Mus musculus: one gene and its partners. The protein of the gene in region 1 binds, or shares a complex with, the protein of each later gene. Links are inferred from orthologs where the notes say so. Each region holds a gene or a part of one and is shown in the gene's direction. Other genes may lie near its edges.

Region 1 (5,600 bases):
GGCAGTGTCTAAATGTCTGATGATGTGATCTGACTGCCTGACATTTCTCAGGACCTGGGAACTTCACGTGTTACTGTTTGCTGTTGAATAACATCTTTCATTGGAAGCAAGAGTATCTACCTGTGCCTTCAGGACAATGTTTTGATATTTAATTGGGCATATAGCTTTCAAAAGGCTAAATGTTTTGCGGACCTAATTTACAAGATGACATCAAATACATTTTTGCTTTTATTATCTTGTAGGTGGCTTTTTCTCAAGTATTTTTTCCAGTCTCTTTGGAACCAGAGAAATGAGGATTTTAATTTTGGGATTAGATGGTGCTGGAAAAACAACAATTTTGTACAGGTTACAGGTTGGAGAAGTTGTTACTACTATTCCCAGTAAGTATTGGTTTAATAACACTTTTCATGTTTCTATCTAATACAGCTTTCTGAATAAACGAGTCATATGATGGGGGTTTGTAAACTTCTACTATGGAAATGATACTGACAATGCTTAAAAAAAAAACCAAAACAAAACAGCTAAGAAGCATTTTGGTGCAATTTAAGGTTCCCTGCCTAGGTATACAAACAGGCTTCTCTGTTTAGAGCTATAGTTGGTTTAAGTCTCTAAATCGTTACTGCTTAATGAAGATACTGTCTGTCTACTGGATTTGAGGAGTCAATGAGGCGTATAAAGTACTTTGCTAACTTGTATGTTGATGGATGTAGATGTTAAATCGGTATTATTGTACACAAAGCACCTTTTTTTCCTGCATATTTATTGCCTAAATCACAGTGTAGTTTCTTCTAAGTAATTCTGTAGATCACTTTTAAAACTGGGAATTGTAGAAGCAGAGCATTTGAAATGACCTGGCCCCTGAAACCAAGGAGAAGAAACACCGGCACTGTAGTTTACCTCCCGCTTGTGGCCTCGTTATTCCTGCTGTCTTAGAAAGTTATTTGTAGAAAGTCCTTCCTATTTTACTACTTGGGGGTGGATACTCTTGGTGTTTACACCTTTTCATTTGTTGAGCTAAATTTAGAGAGATAAGATTAATATATTTTAATTAAGTTGAATCTGTAGAACTTGCTCAGGATTTTAAATTGTGTGCTTTGAATGATTCTGTTAGACATTCCCATTACGTCACTATTAAACCTTCTGGGGGTTTTTCTCTTTTGCTTTTAACAAGGAGTGTTTGGACTTTGTAGCATCTGTTATCTCCTTCTGCAGCCTTTTGCCCATTTCCTTTCCTTTGATTCTTACTTCCGAGATTCTCTCCTCTCCACATGGGCAGGTTTTGGTGGCCTCTGCAGTGCTCAGTGCTACAGGGCCTGTGGACTGCAGTGTGGGCTGTTTGCACGTGAACAGTTCTTGACGGTGGTAGACATAGACCTGCATATGCCTAGTTCTGAGGAAGACAGGAACTTGCTTTTTAGTTTGCTACTTTTGCCATGGTTTTATTTTTCAGATGTAATGTGCATGCTTACCTGCCAAATACATCATTTACCAACACATCATTAAAGATAGGAAACAAAAATCAGTGGTGGTCGTAAGTCAGTTTCACTCTGACTTTGTTTGTCTCTTTTCTGAGACAGGATTTCTTTTTATAGCCCTGGAAGCCCTGGAACTCACTTTGTAGACCAGACTGGCCGGCCTCTGCCTCCTAAGTCCTGGGATTAAAGGCCTGGCCTGACTTTTTCTTTTCTTTTTTTTCTAAGTTTAGGAAATGAGAGCAAACTTTGTACATGTCCACCCTAAGTGTTTTCAAAATTACTTTCTCCCTCACTTAGATTTTCTTTGAAAATAGTTTCTGGTTTCAGCTGTGTGGTGTCGAGGCACACCTAAGAGAGGCACACCTAAGAAGGATGGCAGACAAATGGGATGAGATATTGACTGTTGAGCTATGACCTTGTTACGAGTGAGCTCTTGAGATGCCCATAGAGGGTCTGTACGGCTGCAGCCTGTAGAGAGCATGGCTTTTTTGAATCTAGAGCCTAGTTTTCTATATTGATTTTCATTATTCACTGTCTGCCAGAGCTTCAGCTTTTTCTTTCTTTCTTTCTTTTTTTTTTTTTTTTTGGTTTTTTGAGACAGGGTTTCTTTGTGTAGCCCTGACTGTCCTGGAACTCACTTTGTAGACCAGGCTGGCCTCGAACTCAGAAATCCGCCTTCCTCTGCCTCCCGAGTGCTGGGATTAAAGGCGTACGCCACCACGCCAAGCTTGAACTTCAGCTTTTGAATCTATAACTGTACAAGACTTTCTGAACACTTAGATACCAGTGCTCAGGGTGGTTTAATAGACTTCTGGGGCTGGGGAAATCTACCTACTGCATGGATGTGGGACCATAATTGTGAGTGCACAATTATGATTCCAGCAGGGAGGAGGCAGACTGGCAGAGCAGATGTCTGGGGCTCGATAGCCAAGAGAGAGAGAGAATGAATATGAATATGAATGAATGAATGAATATGAGAGGATATTGTCTTAAGTGTTATATTAATCCAGCCCATAATGTGACGAGAAATTACAAGCAGTTGCTAAAACTCAGTGAAGTTGGACACTTTGTAAAGGTAGAGTATATTAGTTTACATATATGTTGATTTGATTTCTCTTTCAGCTATTGGATTTAATGTGGAGACGGTGACATACAAAAATCTCAAATTCCAAGTTTGGGACTTAGGAGGACAGACAAGTATCAGGTATGGTGTAAACACCAGATCATTTGGTGGTATTTAACATTAATGGCTCTTAGTGCTGACAACACTAAACCAAAATATATCTCCTGTTGGAAATTAGATATTGTCTAAAATATGGTAGAATTTGAAACTGCATATCTTCCTTAGAGCATCCAGTGATTAAAATCTAAGGAACTCAATTTTTCAGAAAAGCACTTAAATGAAAATTCTCTCACGAGAACCCGGAAGTTTGAAAAACTGGCCCCTTGTTTGGGTTTTATCCTTGTCCCCTCTGAGAGACTGTTTGGCATCATGTAAGTCCATGCAGGCTGATAGAAATGCAGGAACCTCCTGAAATCTAGTACTTGGCAAATGTCAGTGACTGGAGGACCAGCTTAGAGTATTAATAAAGTTGCTGTTAAAAATACTAAAAATACTGGTGCACATCTTTAATCCCAGCACTGGGAGGCAGAGGCAGGAGGAGCTCTGAGTTAGAGGCCTGTCTGGTCTACATATCTAGTTCCAGGTCAGCCAGGGTGAGACTTTCATAGAAAACAAAATAAAAGAGAGAGAGGGGGGGGGAGGGAGGGAAAGAGAGAGAGGAGATTGATTAGTAATACAGTCAACTGAATATTCTGTTGTTCAGTGACTCATTTTATTTGGTAAGTTACCTTTGAGATGATTATTATTATGGTTTTGTTTTTGTTATTTTGAGACAGGGTCTCTCTGTTATCCTGAAATTTGCTCTGTAGATCAGCCTGGCCTTGAAGTTTACAGAGATCAGCTTGCCTCTGCCTCCAAGTGCTGGAGTTATGGGTGTTCCACCACCTGATTTGAGATTTTTTCTAATTGTATACAATTCTACTCCTGGTTGTTATTAGTGATTAAGGACATAAAAAGTCACATTAAAATTTGTATCTTCTTATCTTGAAGTTCAAAGCTTGAAACTGTAGATTTATGTCTGTAATTTAATATTTATCACTTTTCTGTCAACCCAGTCATACTGAGAGTGATCAGAAACGGTAAATCAAGCCGGGCTGACAAGTAACCCATCTCCCATCATTGACCAAGGCCAGCATGTAAACTGACATGTCAGGTGTTTTGCAAGGAATAACATGTTTTGAATTTTTTTTAGGCCATACTGGAGATGTTATTATTCAAACACAGATGCAGTCATCTATGTCGTTGACAGTTGTGACCGAGATCGAATTGGCATTTCCAAGTCTGAGTTAGTTGCCATGTTGGAGGTAAGCAGACAGTTAAGTATGGAGGGACTAGAGGGGTCACTTACATTTGCTTACTTTTTCTTGTGTATATTATCATGTGCAATAATAATTAAAAACACTCAAAGGTATTTTCTTCCATTCTTTTCCTTTTTTTTTAAAAGATATATTTCTTGGGGGCTGGTTTAGTGGTTCAGAGCACTGGTTGCTCTCTCAGAGTACGTGAGTTCGATTCTCAGCACCTGTATGGCAGCTGGCAGTGTGCAAGTGACAACTGAGCCATCTGTTACTTGAGTTCCAGTGGATCCGCAGGCATACATGATGCATATAACATCCTCATAAAAAGTAAACATGAAAACACACACAGATACTCAGAGACGTATTTATTTGTATATTTGTTTTGTCTGCATTATGTGTGTGTACCATGTATATGCATGGTATCTGTGGAGGTCAGAAGAGAGCATCAGATGCGCTGGGAGTGGAGATATAAATGATTGTGAGCCTTTGTGTAGGCACTAGGAATCGAACCTTTGTCCTCTGCAGGAGCAGCTAGGACTCTTTTTTTTTTTTTTTTGGTTTTTCGAGGCAGGGTTTCTCTGTGTAGCCCTGGCTGTCCTGGAACTCACTCTGTAGACCAGACTGGCCTTGAACTCAGAAATCCGCCTGCCTCTGCCTCCCAAGTGCTGGGGTTAAAGGCGAGCACCACCACACCCGATTAACAAGTATTCTTAATCACTGGGCTAACTCTCCCTTAAAGATTTTATTTGTGTGTGTGTGTGTGAGTGTGAGAGAGAGAGAGTGTGTGTGTGTGTTTGGCTACACGAATGGTTCTATACGTACCTGTTGCCTGAAGAGGTGGGAAGAAGGTGTTGATTATACACAGCTGTAATCTACCATGTGAGTTTGGGAATCAAATGTGGGACCGATGCCTACATAAGCAGCAAGTGCAGTTAACCAGATCCATACCTGTAGCCCATTCTCTCTCTCTCTCTCTCTCTCTCTTCTGTGTATCTATCCTCCATCCCTTCTGTTCTTTTTATAAAGTGCATGTTTCAGCCAGGCGGTGGTGGCGCACACCTTTAATCCCAGCACTCCGGAGGCAGAGGCAGGCAGATTTCTGAGTTTGAGTCCAGCCTGGTCTACAGAGTGAGTTCCAGGACAGCCAGGGCTACACAGAGAAACCCTGTCTCGAAAAAAACCAAAACCAAAAAACCAAAAAAAAAAAAAAAAAAAAAAAAGTACATGTTACTTCCTATTGGAAAGATAGATTGAATAAAAATCCAGCCCTCTAGCTTCTTGTAATCATTTCATTAGTCTCAGAAAACTCAGAGCTCTTAATTTAAGGTAAGCCAAGTTAAGTTACTAGCTTGTGTGTGGTGGGCGTGTGTGTTTGCGTGTGTACACATTTGTACATGGAGGTCAGAACACAGCTGTGTAGAGTTGGCTCTCTTCTACCTTTATGTAGGTTCCAAAGATGTCTCTGGGGTTGCCAGGCTTAGGAGACAACTTTTACCTCATGAGCTGTCTCGTTGCCCAAATAATATGACTTTTAAAAGACTTATTTTTATGTCTTTGTCTTCGTGTTTGTGTCTGCATGTGTGTGTTGATGCCTTCAGAGGCCAGGAGAGGGTGTCAGACCCCTCGGGGTGGAGTTGCAGGCAGTTGGGAGCCACCTGTTACAGGGGCTGAGAACTTGATTCTCTGGAGGAGGAGGAGCGCTCT
Region 2 (5,600 bases), on another chromosome or scaffold:
GTTTTTGGCACAGGAAAAGAGTCGATCAGAATATTTGAAGCTCACCCAAGAAAAAGAGCAGCAAGAATCCTTGGCTTTAGAAGAGTTAGAGCTGCAGAAAAAAGCCATCCTTACAGAGAGTGAAAATAAACTCCAGGAACTTGGGCAAGAAGCAGAGGCTTACCGAACCGTAAGTTCACGTGCTGTGTGGGCTCCAGAGCTGGGGATGTGTGTGTCTGTGAGACTGTCCCCAGAGCTGGGGGTGTGTGTGTCTGTGAGACTGTCCCCAGAGCTGGGTGTGTGTATGTCTGTGAGACTGTCCCCAGAGCTGGGGGTGTGTGTGTCTGTGAGACTGTCCCCAGAGCTGGGTGTGTGTGTGTCTGTGAGACTGTCCCCAGAGCTGGGTGTGTGTGTGTCTGTGAGACTGTCCCCAGAGCTGGGGGTGTGTGTGTCTGTGAGACTGTCCCCAGAGCTGGGGATGTGTGTGTCTGTGAGACTGTCCCCAGAGCTGGGGGTGTGTGTGTCTGTGAGACTGTCCCCAGAGCTGGGGGTGTGTGTGTCTGTGAGACTGTCCCCAGAGCTGGGGGTGTGTGTGTTTGTGAGACTGTCCCCAGAGCTGGGGTGTGTGTGTGTCTGTGAGACTGTCCCTAGAGCTGGGGATGTGTGTGTCTGTGAGACTGTCCCCAGAGCTGGGGATGTGTGTGTCTGTGAGACTGTCCCCAGAGCTGGGGGTGTGTGTGTCTGTGAGACTGTCCCCAGAGCTGGGGGTGTGTGTGTCTGTGAGACTGTCCCCAGAGCTGGGGGTGTGTGTGTCTGTGAGACTGTCCCCAGAGCTGGGGTGTGTGTGTGTCTGTGAGACTGTCCCTAGAGCTGGGGTGTGTGTGTGTCTGTGAGACTGTCCCTAGAGCTGGGGATGTGTGTGTCTGTGAGACTGTCCCCAGAGCTGGGGGTGTGTGTAGGGATGCATGTGTCCCTGAAGACATTTCTCTAGTCCTGGAATGAAGTATTTGTTATAGTGTAAGTGTATGTAGTTTTCTGCCCTTTTCTTGTCACTGTTAGAGATGTGTGACCTGCCACAGGAACGTGCTGACGGTATTTAGATCTGTCAGTCTTGTTAGGCCATGCAACAGTCACACTTCCCATAGTTGTAAGTTCATCTTTGCTCTTCCTTTACGGACAGTTCAGACACTGACGTGGTGCGGTGAGATGGCATTGACGCGGCTGAATCTGCACTGCTGTCTCTGCAGTGCATCTCTGCAGTCACCAAGGGGCTGGACCTGTCAGTGTCTTAGGACTGTTCCAGTCTGACGCTGTTCAGAGTGAAGAATTAATATTCTGTGAGAGAACAGCAACCTTTGGTTAAATATGGTTAAGAATATTCTTTAAGGAAAAACAAAACAAAACTGTGCAGGTTGGTGATGAGACAGCTCAGGATAATGTGTTTGCTGTACAGTCCTGGCCATCTGAACCTGATCCCCAACCACAGTGCAGAAAGAGAGCCAGCTTCCTGCTTCCCTGCCCTCTGCAGCCACAGCTGCACCCTCCTCCTCTTCCTCCTCCTCTTCCTTTTCTTCTTTCTCCTCTTCTTCTTCCTCTTCCTCCTCATGTCCTGTTCTTCCTCCTCCTCATCCTCTTCTTCCTCCTCTTCCTCTTCCTCCTCTTCTTCCTCCTCCTCCTCCTCACCCCCCACTTATGTGTATATGCACTTATATGTGTATATACACTTATGTGTATATGAATAATAAAATTTTAAAAGCTTTTAAGTATTTGCCTTTGGGGGTAGAAAACTGAGATTTTTTTTCCCCTCAAAATTGTTATAAAAGTAATAAAATACTATTATAAACCTAAAAGCATAGAGTGTGGAGATCCATCTTCCTACCAAGCTTGCTATCATTATTTGTTTTGTGGTTTATTTTCTTTTTGACTATCCCATTAGAATTTTTTGACTAGAGATACTGAGATCATTATGGGATGGTAAATAGAGGAAGTGCAGAGCTGAGTGTGTTCATGACTGCATTGGTGACTGAGCACAGCAGATTGTCGCCCTTTTCTTATGTTTGGTCTGCTATGTGAGGCATTCAAAGAACAGCCTTTAGATAGGCCCTGCAGTCTTTTATCATCACTAGTAAACAAGTATGCTGTTAGTAAAATACACCCAATTTTCATTAACAGAGAATTCTTGAATTGGAAACCTCTTTGGAAAAAAGTTTACAAGAAAGCAAAACACAGTCAGAGCATCTGGCTGTTCATCTGGAAGCTGAGAAGAATAAGCACAATAAAGAACTCACAGCCCTGGCTGAGCAGCATAGGACAGAAGTGGAGGGCCTCCAGCAGCAGCAGGACAGCCTGTGGACTGAGAGACTCCAAAGCCTCTCTCAGCAGCATCAGGCTGCTGTGGAGGAGCTCAGAGAGAAGTATCAGCAAGAGAAAGATGCACTACTGAAGGAGAAGGAGAGTCTCTTCCAGGCCCACATACAAGACATGAATGAAAAGACCTTGGAGAAGCTTGACAAGAAGCAAATGGAACTGGAATCTGTCTCTTCTGAGCTGTCAGAAGCACTGAGAGCTCGGGACCAGCTTGCAGAGGAGCTTTCTGTCCTAAGAGGTGATGCAGATAAAATGAAACAGGCTTTAGAGGCCGAGCTGGAGGAGCAGCGGCGTCACCACCAGCGTGAGGTTGGCAGCATCAGTGAGCAACAAGAACTAACCGTCCGCAGAGCTGAGAAGGCACTGAAAGATGAGCTCAGTCGGCTGGGGGCTCTGCTGGACGAGAGGGACGAGCACCTGAGAGAGCGGCAGGCCCGGGTGCAGGACCTGGAAGCTCATCTTCAGAAGTCTGCCGGGGAGCTCCAGCAGGCCTTGGCCAAACTAGATCTCTTGCACTCTGAGCAGAGCGCCGCACGCGAGCAGGCAGGTGCGTATGAGGAGCAGCTGGCCCAAATGCAGCAAAAGGTGTTAGACCTGGAAACAGAGAAGAGCCTTCTTACCAAGCAGGTAGTGGAGATGGAAACACACAAAAAGCATGTGTGTGAGGAATTAGATGCTCAGAGAGCTCAAGTGCAGCAGCTGGAGAGACAGAGGAGTGAGCTGGAGGAGAAGGTCAGGTCGCTAGCCCAGCTCCAGGACTCACAGCTCAAGAACAGTACTGTGGAGAAGGAGCAGGCTCGGCAAAGCCTGATGGAAAAGGAAAACATCATCTTACAGATGCGAGAGGAGCAGGCCAAGGAAATCGAGATCCTCAAACAGACATTGTCTTCTAAAGAAGAGAGCATTAGTATTTTGCATGAAGAATATGAAACCAAATTTAAAAATCAGGAAAAAAGAATGGAAAAAATTAAGCAGAAAGCAAAAGAAATGCAAGAAACAAAGAAAAAGTTGTTGGATCAGGAAGCCAAACTTAAAAAAGAGCTTGAAAATACTGTCCTAGAGCTTAGTCAGAAAGAGAAGCAGTTCAATGCGCAGATCCTGGAAATGGCACAGGCTAACTCAGCTGGAATCAGCGACACGGTGTCGAGACTGGAGGAGAACCAGAGGCAGCAGATAGAAAGCCTGACCGGGGCTCATCAGCGAAAACTTGATGATGTCATAGAGGCCTGGGAAAAGAAGCTGAGTCAGCAAGCTGCAGAGCTCCGGGACAAGCATGCAGAGCAGATGGAGGAGAAGGAGCAGGGGCTGGGAGAGCTGAGGCAGAAGGTCCGCATAGTCCAGTCTGAAAAAGAGGAGCTGACTAAGGAGGTGGCGCGATTGAAAGAGGCGGTCAGTGGGCAGGACGTGGCACTAGCTGGCCTGCAGGGACAGCTGGAGCAGAAGTCTGCTGTCATCGTTTCCCTTTCGGAGCGTGAATCTCAGCTGCAGTCACAAGTGGAAAAGCTGGAAGCTGATTTGGGTTGTTCTCTGAGTGAAAAGCTTTCCCTTCAAGAAGAGCTGGCTGAGCTGAAACTGCTGGCAGACAAGAGTCAGCTGAGGGTCTCCGAGCTGACGGGCCAGGTGCAGGCTGCGGAGAAGGAGCTCCAGAGCTGTAAGTCTCTGCATGAGCTCAGCAAGAAGAGCCTGGAGGACAAGAGCTTGAACCTCAAAAGCTTGCTTGAGGAGCTAGCATCTCAGCTAGACAGTCGCTGTGAGAGAACCAAAGCTCTGTTAGAAGCCAAGACGAACGAACTAGTGTGCACCAGCCGTGACAAAGCCGACGCTATTCTCGCTAGGCTGTCCCAATGCCAGCGCCACACAGCCACAGTTGGGGAGGCGCTGCTCAGGAGAATGGGCCAGGTTTCTGAGTTAGAAGCACAACTTACACAGCTGACAGAGGAGCAGCGCACACTAAAGAGCTCTTTTCAGCAGGTTACCAATCAGCTGGAAGAGAAAGAGAAGCAGATTAAGACCATGAAGGCTGACATTGAAGGTCTTCTCACAGAAAAAGAAGCCTTACAGCAAGAAGGAGGCCAGCAGCGGCAGGCGGCCTCTGAGAAGGAGTCCTGCATCACACAGCTGAAGAAGGAGTTAGCGGAGAACATCAATGCCGTCACACTACTGAGAGAAGAGCTGTCGGAGAAGAAGTCTGAGATTGCCAGTCTTAGCAAGCAGTTAAGTGATCTCGGTGCTCAGCTGGAGAGCAGCATCAGCCCGAGTGACAAGGCCGAAGCCATCTCTGCCCTGAGCAAGCAGCACGAGGAACAAGAGCTGCAGCTGCAAGCTCAGCTTCAGGAGCTGTCTCTGAAAGTCGATGCTCTGAGTAAAGAGAAAATGTCTGCCCTTGAGCAGGTGGATCATTGGTCCAACAAGTTCTCAGAGTGGAAGAAAAAAGCACAGTCCAGACTTGCCCAGCACCAAAGCACTATTAAAGACTTGCAGGCACAGCTAGACGTAAAAGCCACGGACGCTCGTGAGAAGGAGGAGCAGATATGTTTACTGAAGGAAGACCTTGATCGGCAGAATAAAAAGTTTGAATGTTTAAAAGGCGAGATGGAAGTCAGGAAGAGCAAGATGGAGAAAAAGGAGTGTGACTTAGAGACTGCGTTAAAGACTCAGACAGCAAGGGTCGTTGAATTAGAAGACTGCGTTACTCAGAGGAAAAAAGAAGTTGAGTCCCTAAATGAAACACTTAAGAATTACAACCAGCAGAGGGACACTGAGCACAGTGGGCTGGTTCAGAGACTTCAGCACTTGGAAGAGTTGGGAGAAGAGAAAGACAACAAGGTTAGGGAGGCTGAAGAGACCGTCCTGAGACTACGAGAGCACGTGTCCTCGCTGGAAGCTGAACTTGGAACTGTGAAGAAGGAACTAGAACATGTAAATTCAAGTGTGAAAAGCAGAGATGGGGAGCTGAAAGCTTTAGAAGACAAACTTGAGTTAGAAAGTGCTGCAAAAGTGGAGCTGAAGAGGAAGGCCGAGCAGAAGATCGCTGCCATCAGGAAGCAGCTCTTGTCTCAGATGGAAGAGAAAACCCAGCGGTATGCGAAGGACACAGAGAACCGACTGAGTGAGCTGAGTGCACAATTAAAAGAAAGAGAAAAGCAAGTTCACAGCCTAGAAGACAAACTTAAAAACCTGGAGAGTTCTCCACACCCAGAAGTGCCAGCGGTGTCCAGATCTATGCAAAGTGTGGCAGCGTCTCCCGAGCAAGA
Region 3 (5,816 bases), on another chromosome or scaffold:
TCTCACTCGTCTTCTCCTCCTTGCCGCCACCATCTGAGCCAAGTTAAGACCTTAAGGTTATGAGCACTCAGGAGCTTAAGGCCAGTTTGGAGCTTTGTGAGGCTTCTCAGAGTTTCATTTTAGACTCTTTTACTGGCTAGAATTCTACCTAGAAATATAAGCCAACTTCTCTGTTTTTCTGTGTTCACCATCTTTGATCCTGCCAATCGCACATGTCATGTTTGCTTCTATTCCCGCTTATCTCGTACACCAACAACACTCCTACCCTACTCCAAGAATGCCAGATACATACATTGAATTGATTTGGTTGTCAGGACATGAGTCCTTGTTCCCCCTAGTGACCAGAAGAATGCAGTTGTCTGTCTAGATAGTCCTTCTTCAGAGAGGTCATTTCGTGTGTTTGGGGGGGTGGGGGGGAGGAGTGAGCCACAGAAGTGTATGGTTTTATCTAAGAGAAACTGGTGTCAGAGAACTTGGTCCTTTAGGGTCTGGCCGACATCCATCTCACAGCACGTCACCCTCTGGCCCTGGTGACGAGGTGGCCCGGGGCATCGCTGGAGAAAAGTTTGACATCGTCAAGAAATGGGGCATCAACACATATAAGGTAAGATTCAAGTGCTTCTCCTCAGAAATTCTCCGTGGGGACCTTTTCCCTTTCCCCAGGTCTTACTGTGTAGTCTTTGCTATGACTAAGAGAACGGGGGTGCTGGAGTAGTTCATTGTTGGGGTGGAGTTTAGATTTCTGACCTCACCCCCCCCCCCTTCCAATCAGTGCACAAAGCAGCTGTTATCAGAGAGATTTGGCCGAGGCTCCCGGACTGTGGATCTGGAGCTAGAGCTGCAGATTGAGTTGCTGCGTGAGACGAAGCGCAAGTATGAAAGTGTCCTGCAGCTGGGCCGGGCACTGACAGCCCACCTCTACAGCCTGTTGCAGACCCAGCATGCACTAGGTGATGCCTTTGCTGACCTCAGCCAGAAGTCCCCAGAGCTTCAGGTGCCTCAGCCAAAACAAAGAGGGTGGGGGTACTGGGCCCTGGTCCTTCCAGGCAGGCTTTCCTCAGCCTCCCTCCCTCCCTCCCTCCTGCAGCCCCCAGGGAGAACCCCTCTGGGGTGCGCCCAGTCCTGCCCCCAGCATCACTCACCTATGGAGGCAGCCTAAGGGTTTGTACAGAGGCCCAGAAGTTGGAAGGGTTGTGGGAGAGGGCTCACCAGTACCTCATAAGTAACCTGTCTCCACATCATCAAGAATGCCTTTGGTGCTTGGCCTAATCAGATTCCCTCCCTGCCTGCTGCACTAGCTCTCCGTGTTCTGTCTTGTAAACTCACCTAAGAACTCGTACTCCCCACACTCTTACCTCAGGCATCGCCAAGGGACCCTACTAACTTTGTGGCTAAGAGAGCCTTGCTAGAGGCAGTCTGGTTGTTGTAGTTTTGATGGCTGTTTCTTCTTTGGGATGGAGGGATATGAAGGGCTCTACAGCTGCAGTCAGGTAAGGAGTGTTACTCAATGCCTGTGCCTCCCTTCTGCCCTTAGGAGGAATTTGGCTATAATGCAGAGACACAAAAGCTGCTGTGCAAGAATGGGGAGACGCTGCTAGGGGCTGTGAACTTCTTTGTCTCTAGCATCAACACACTGGTCACCAAGACCATGGAAGACACACTCATGACTGTCAAACAGTATGAGGCTGCCAGGTGTGGGCCCACGGTTTGGGAAGTTGGCTGGCATGGGTGAAAATGCAAACATTAGGGGCATACAGATTCAGAAAGGAAAGGAAATATGAGTGTGGATGAAGAGGTGGAGACCAGCCTTTATCACCCCCTTCCCAGGCTGGAATATGATGCCTACCGGACAGACTTAGAAGAGCTGAGCCTAGGGCCCCGGGATGCAGGGACTCGTGGTCGACTTGAGAGTGCCCAGGCCACTTTCCAGACCCATCGGGACAAATATGAGAAGCTGCGGGGAGATGTGGCCATCAAGCTGAAGTTCCTGGAAGAAAACAAGGTGCTGCCCTACTCCCTTGGTCCTAAGTCACCTAAGTCCTAAGACACAGTACCTATCCCTTCAGACCCTTCTGATTGTTGGGTGCGGAGCTGCCCCTGGCTAGGGAGTGGGTTGTTCCCCTAGCCCCTTGAAACCTGAGCACTTTCAGTTCACCCTCCTCATCACTGGCTTCTAGTCCCAGTAGCATAACTGAAAAAAACATTGCCCCTTGGCTGGGGTTCCAGAACCCTAAACCCAGCAGATTAAGTCAGGTTTCTTTCTTCATATTGCCCCTTCTCTTTTGACTTCTTGAAAACTCCCTACCCCAAAACACTGTCAGCAGAGTCTATTTGCTCTGGACTGTGTCTGGGCTTAGGCTTGTAGCCCCTCCCTGAGGGTGCCTGAGTCTAGCCTTAGCTGACCCTGCTGGGCCCCCAGATCAAGGTGATGCACAAGCAGCTGCTGCTCTTCCACAATGCCGTGTCTGCCTACTTCGCTGGGAACCAGAAACAGCTGGAGCAGACTCTTCAGCAGTTCAACATCAAGCTGCGGCCTCCAGGAGCCGAGAAGCCTTCCTGGTTAGAGGAGCAGTGAGCAGCTCCCAGCCCAACTTGGCTATCAAGAAGGACACTGGGCGGGGCAGCCCCAGGGTGGAGGAGATTGGACATGGGATGTCCTTTGCCACTTACTTGCTGGCTTGGGCTCGTTTTTTCTGACTGGGGTCTGACACCAGTTTTGCCCACTGCTGTGGTCTGAAGAGGCCCGTAGGCCCGTAGGCCCAGAAGCTGCTGTCCTGCCCTTTATCTTCCTGGCCACTGGGCTTCATTCCCAGATCTTTTCCTTTCACTCCACAGCCAAAGGCTATGACAAAACACTCCCTGGCCAATGGCATCACTCCTCAGGCCTATCCCCAGCTCTTGGGATGTGCCCCTGACCAAAGACAGGACCTCAAAAGGTTCTGTCAGCCAATGGCAGCTCTTCTTGGGCTCCTCTGGGCCAATAGTGTTGCCTCCAGTACCCTTTGTTCCCTCCTCAATGTGTGTCCATTGCAGAGAAGGGGACTGGGACCAAAGGGGTGGGGATAATGGGGAGCTGCATTTGTGGCCCTGCATCTGAATGGGCCCTCCCCTCATCCACCCACCCAGTTGAACTGTGCTTAGAACCCCAGAAGACTGGGTTCTAGCACTAGGAATAAACCTTTCATAAAAGCAGGCCCAGTGAGGTCAATTTGTGGGGGACTAGAGGAGGGTGGATTGGTAAGAAATGCCCAGTAATCTTGCATTCAGTTCCTATGAATTCAGAAGAGCTGCAGCTAAGTTTGAGAAGCTGCCGAAGGCCTGATGCCCCTCACTTTCAGAGCCAACGCTTTATTTTTCTCTTCCCGTTAGCACCAAGGCAATCTATGTGTCTGAAGAGCATAGGGTCCAGAGGGGGTTGGGCCGGCTAACCATCATGCATTCAATCATACAGCCGATGTTTACTGAGTGCTTTTATTTGCCAGGCACTGCGTTAGGCCCTGGGGAAACATCAGTGAATAAAACGCAGTCCCTGCTCACAGTGCTTAAGGCCTAGTGGGGGATAGAGACAAGTAACCAGGCAACTACAATACAATGAGAAATGCTAGGATACAAGATGCAGTGGGAGCACCAGATAAGGGGCATCTAGCTTAGACTGAGGTAGGGATGGCGATGCCAGTTTAAAAGCTGAGATCTGAAAAGTAAGTAGCGAACAGCTGAGGAAGAAAGGCCAATGCTCATAAAGTCTGAATAAGAATTCAGTCCAGAATGAAAAATTAAGTGGGTGAGAGACAAGAGGCAGACTTGATCTTTGGAGAAATGGAACTAAGAAACCTCTTAGAGGTCTGGCAGCACGGGAGAAGCGAAGTGTAGAGAACATACTTCCTGGACTATTGGGTAGCCTAGTGACCCTTGCTTGTCACTCTAAGCATGAACCCTGCCTGAGCTCCTTCACATCCAGTGAGTAGCTACCGCAGAGATAAAGGCATTCTCACCGCACCTGCTGCAACCTGCACTGCTCTTGTTGAAGTCAAACCTTAATTGTATAAGAAATCACAAGAAAACTCCCAGCAGCACTTTAGACAGGGCTTGAGTGCGGTCAACTACAGGTCCAAAGACAACTGCAGACTTCTTCAGCATTCTGTCCCCTCTAGAGGGTGGAGAAAGGGGACCAACCCAGTCAGCAGGTTCCCACAGCACAGGGTGCACACCACTCTGACTTGACTCTTTGTCAGTGATAACTGCAATCCCCAGCCAGGCTTCTGGGGCTTTAATTAGCCTTTATGTAGTCAGCTGTCTGCCTTGATTATTAGAGGTGCTGGTTCTCTTATTAGCCCCCTACTTTATGGGCCACTGAGGATTTTTGTTGTAAGGGCATTGAATCTTCAAATGGTTGGAGACAGAACCTGAAAGCAGAGCCCAAACATGGCTCCACCATTTTCTAGCTGATTAGGATTAATGCCTGGGGAACATAAGCTCGCTCCGCTCCTTCCGTTGTAAAGCTGCTAATAAAAGCAGCTACCGATTACGGTTATGCGTATTAAATGAGATAATGTATGTAAAGTGATTAGCTCTGTCTGGCACGTAATAAACACTCAGTCCCTGTTAATGTACAGTTTTTATTGTATTGTACCTAGGCTGTTTTTCCATAATGCAATGATTCTGAGAATTGCTCTGGGTCTTTGGTGTAAGGAAGGAGTCGCGCTGGATGGTCTAAACCAAATTTCCTCAGGCGGCACCTGAGGAACCTAAAACCGAAAAGAAGTCTCCCACTTGGCCTGCAAACCCCTTCTCCTAGAGTTCTGGGTTGAGGTACAGGTGGTCCCCCTCCCTCTTGCTCAGTGGAAACCAAACTAGCAGATTTCACAGGAGCCTCCGGGAAAGCCCAGGAAGGAGCGACCAGAAGCAGCAGGAACGGACTCTCGGAGTACTAAAGCTGGTTCTAGCTGCTTTTACTTGAAGGCATCAAGTGCCACTATCAGACCTCAGCTACTCACCCTCGCCCTTAGGCCTCGTGAGCCAGAGGCAGCAGGCGAGGATCCCGGATCTAGGATCTAGGATCCGGGATCCGCTTGCCAGCTCCAAACCGCACCGCAGAGGGAGAGCCAAGAGCCGCAAGGGCGGAGGGGCTGGCGGGCGTGGTCTGAGAGGTGGGGGCGTGGTTGGGGCGGGCCTTCGGCTCCGGAGTCGCCCCCTCCCCCGACCGGTCCGCAGCCCCGCCCCGGCCCCTCCCTCCGGCCTGTGCGACGGGTCCAGCGGCAGCGGCGCCGGCGCGGGGACAGACGGAGGCGCGGGACGTGGGGCGGCGCCGCGGGCAGGGCCGGGCGGACGGGCGCTGGCAGCGGGGGCAGCGCTGCGGGCCGCTCCGAGTGGCTGCAGTCCGGGCCTTGCCCTCCCATCCTGCTCCCACGCCGTGAGTGCGCCGCGCGGGCCCCAAGGGTGCGTCTGGTCCACCTGTGTATCGGGGTGCGGGTCCTGGTGCTAGCGGCGGTGTGTGGGTCCGAGCGTCTTTGGGTGGGGGCGCGGATGCTTTTCAAAAGCTGTTCCTGTCTCTGTCCACGTGAGGCGTGTCCGTGTCTGTGAGAGCAGCGGGGGATTCTTTGGGCTGTGGCTGCTCACGTGAGGTCCGTGTTTGCGGGCTGTGTGGTGGGGGGAGGCGCGGGTGGATGGGTGATGGTTCATTTTAGGAGCGCGGGTTTTGGGAGTCTCTGTGTTGGCGGAGGGTACCGAAAGCTGCGGCCGATGGTGTTGGGGGTGGGTGGGTGGGGTTGCTGATTGGCACTCTGGAATCTTGTGGCCCCGCTCGTCCAAAGGGTTCC

What was found. Proteins that work in one complex are often made in the same cells at the same time.
Region 2: the proteins of Arl1 (region 1) and Golga4 are in contact, whole or in part, in a crystal structure (PDB 1UPT), measured with the Homo sapiens proteins. The link is inferred for Mus musculus from reciprocal best matches to the Homo sapiens genes ARL1 and GOLGA4. Residues at the interface, in NP_001168.1 of Homo sapiens: Ile49, Gly50, Phe51, Gln64, Trp66, Ser73, Ile74, Pro76, Tyr77, Cys80, Tyr81, Ser83, Glu115; in NP_002069.2 of Homo sapiens: Thr2173, Glu2174, Glu2176, Tyr2177, Lys2180, Val2181, Glu2184, Glu2190, Thr2193, Lys2196, Val2197, Thr2200, Val2201.
Region 3: the proteins of Arl1 (region 1) and Arfip2 are in contact, whole or in part, in a crystal structure (PDB 4DCN), measured with the Homo sapiens proteins. The link is inferred for Mus musculus from reciprocal best matches to the Homo sapiens genes ARL1 and ARFIP2. Residues at the interface, in NP_001168.1 of Homo sapiens: Glu17, Arg19, Gln38, Ile46, Ile49, Gly50, Phe51, Asn52, Val53, Glu54, Thr55, Gln64, Trp66, Ile74, Tyr77, Cys80, Tyr81; in NP_001363487.1 of Homo sapiens: Phe205, Thr212, Lys216, Thr217, Asp220, Asp278, Ile281, Lys282, Phe285, Leu286, Glu288, Asn289, Lys292.

The regions. Positions count from the first base shown.
Region 1 is NC_000076.6:88,733,301-88,738,900, forward strand, and holds part of Arl1 (ADP-ribosylation factor-like protein 1), read left to right. Parts: intron 1-242; coding exon 243-380; intron 381-2,597; coding exon 2,598-2,679; intron 2,680-3,790; coding exon 3,791-3,902; intron 3,903-5,600. UniProt on the Homo sapiens protein: GTP-binding protein that recruits several effectors, such as golgins, arfaptins and Arf-GEFs to the trans-Golgi network, and modulates their functions at the Golgi complex.
Region 2 is NC_000075.6:118,553,422-118,559,021, forward strand, and holds part of Golga4 (golgin subfamily A member 4), read left to right. Parts: intron 1-13; coding exon 14-169; intron 170-2,151; coding exon 2,152-5,600. UniProt on the Homo sapiens protein: Involved in vesicular trafficking at the Golgi apparatus level. May play a role in delivery of transport vesicles containing GPI-linked proteins from the trans-Golgi network through its interaction with MACF1. Involved in endosome-to-Golgi trafficking.
Region 3 is NC_000073.6:105,632,997-105,638,812, reverse strand, and holds the end of Arfip2 (arfaptin-2), read left to right. Parts: intron 1-485; coding exon 486-604; intron 605-772; coding exon 773-994; exon of another isoform or gene 995-1,087; coding exon of another isoform or gene 1,088-1,159; exon of another isoform or gene 1,160-1,251; intron 1,252-1,534; coding exon 1,535-1,692; intron 1,693-1,827; coding exon 1,828-2,002; intron 2,003-2,419; coding exon 2,420-2,575; 3' UTR 2,576-4,612; downstream 4,613-5,816. UniProt on the Homo sapiens protein: Plays a role in constitutive metalloproteinase (MMP) secretion from the trans Golgi network. May have important functions during vesicle biogenesis at certain cargo subdomains, which could be predominantly utilized by secreted MMPs, such as MMP7 and MMP2.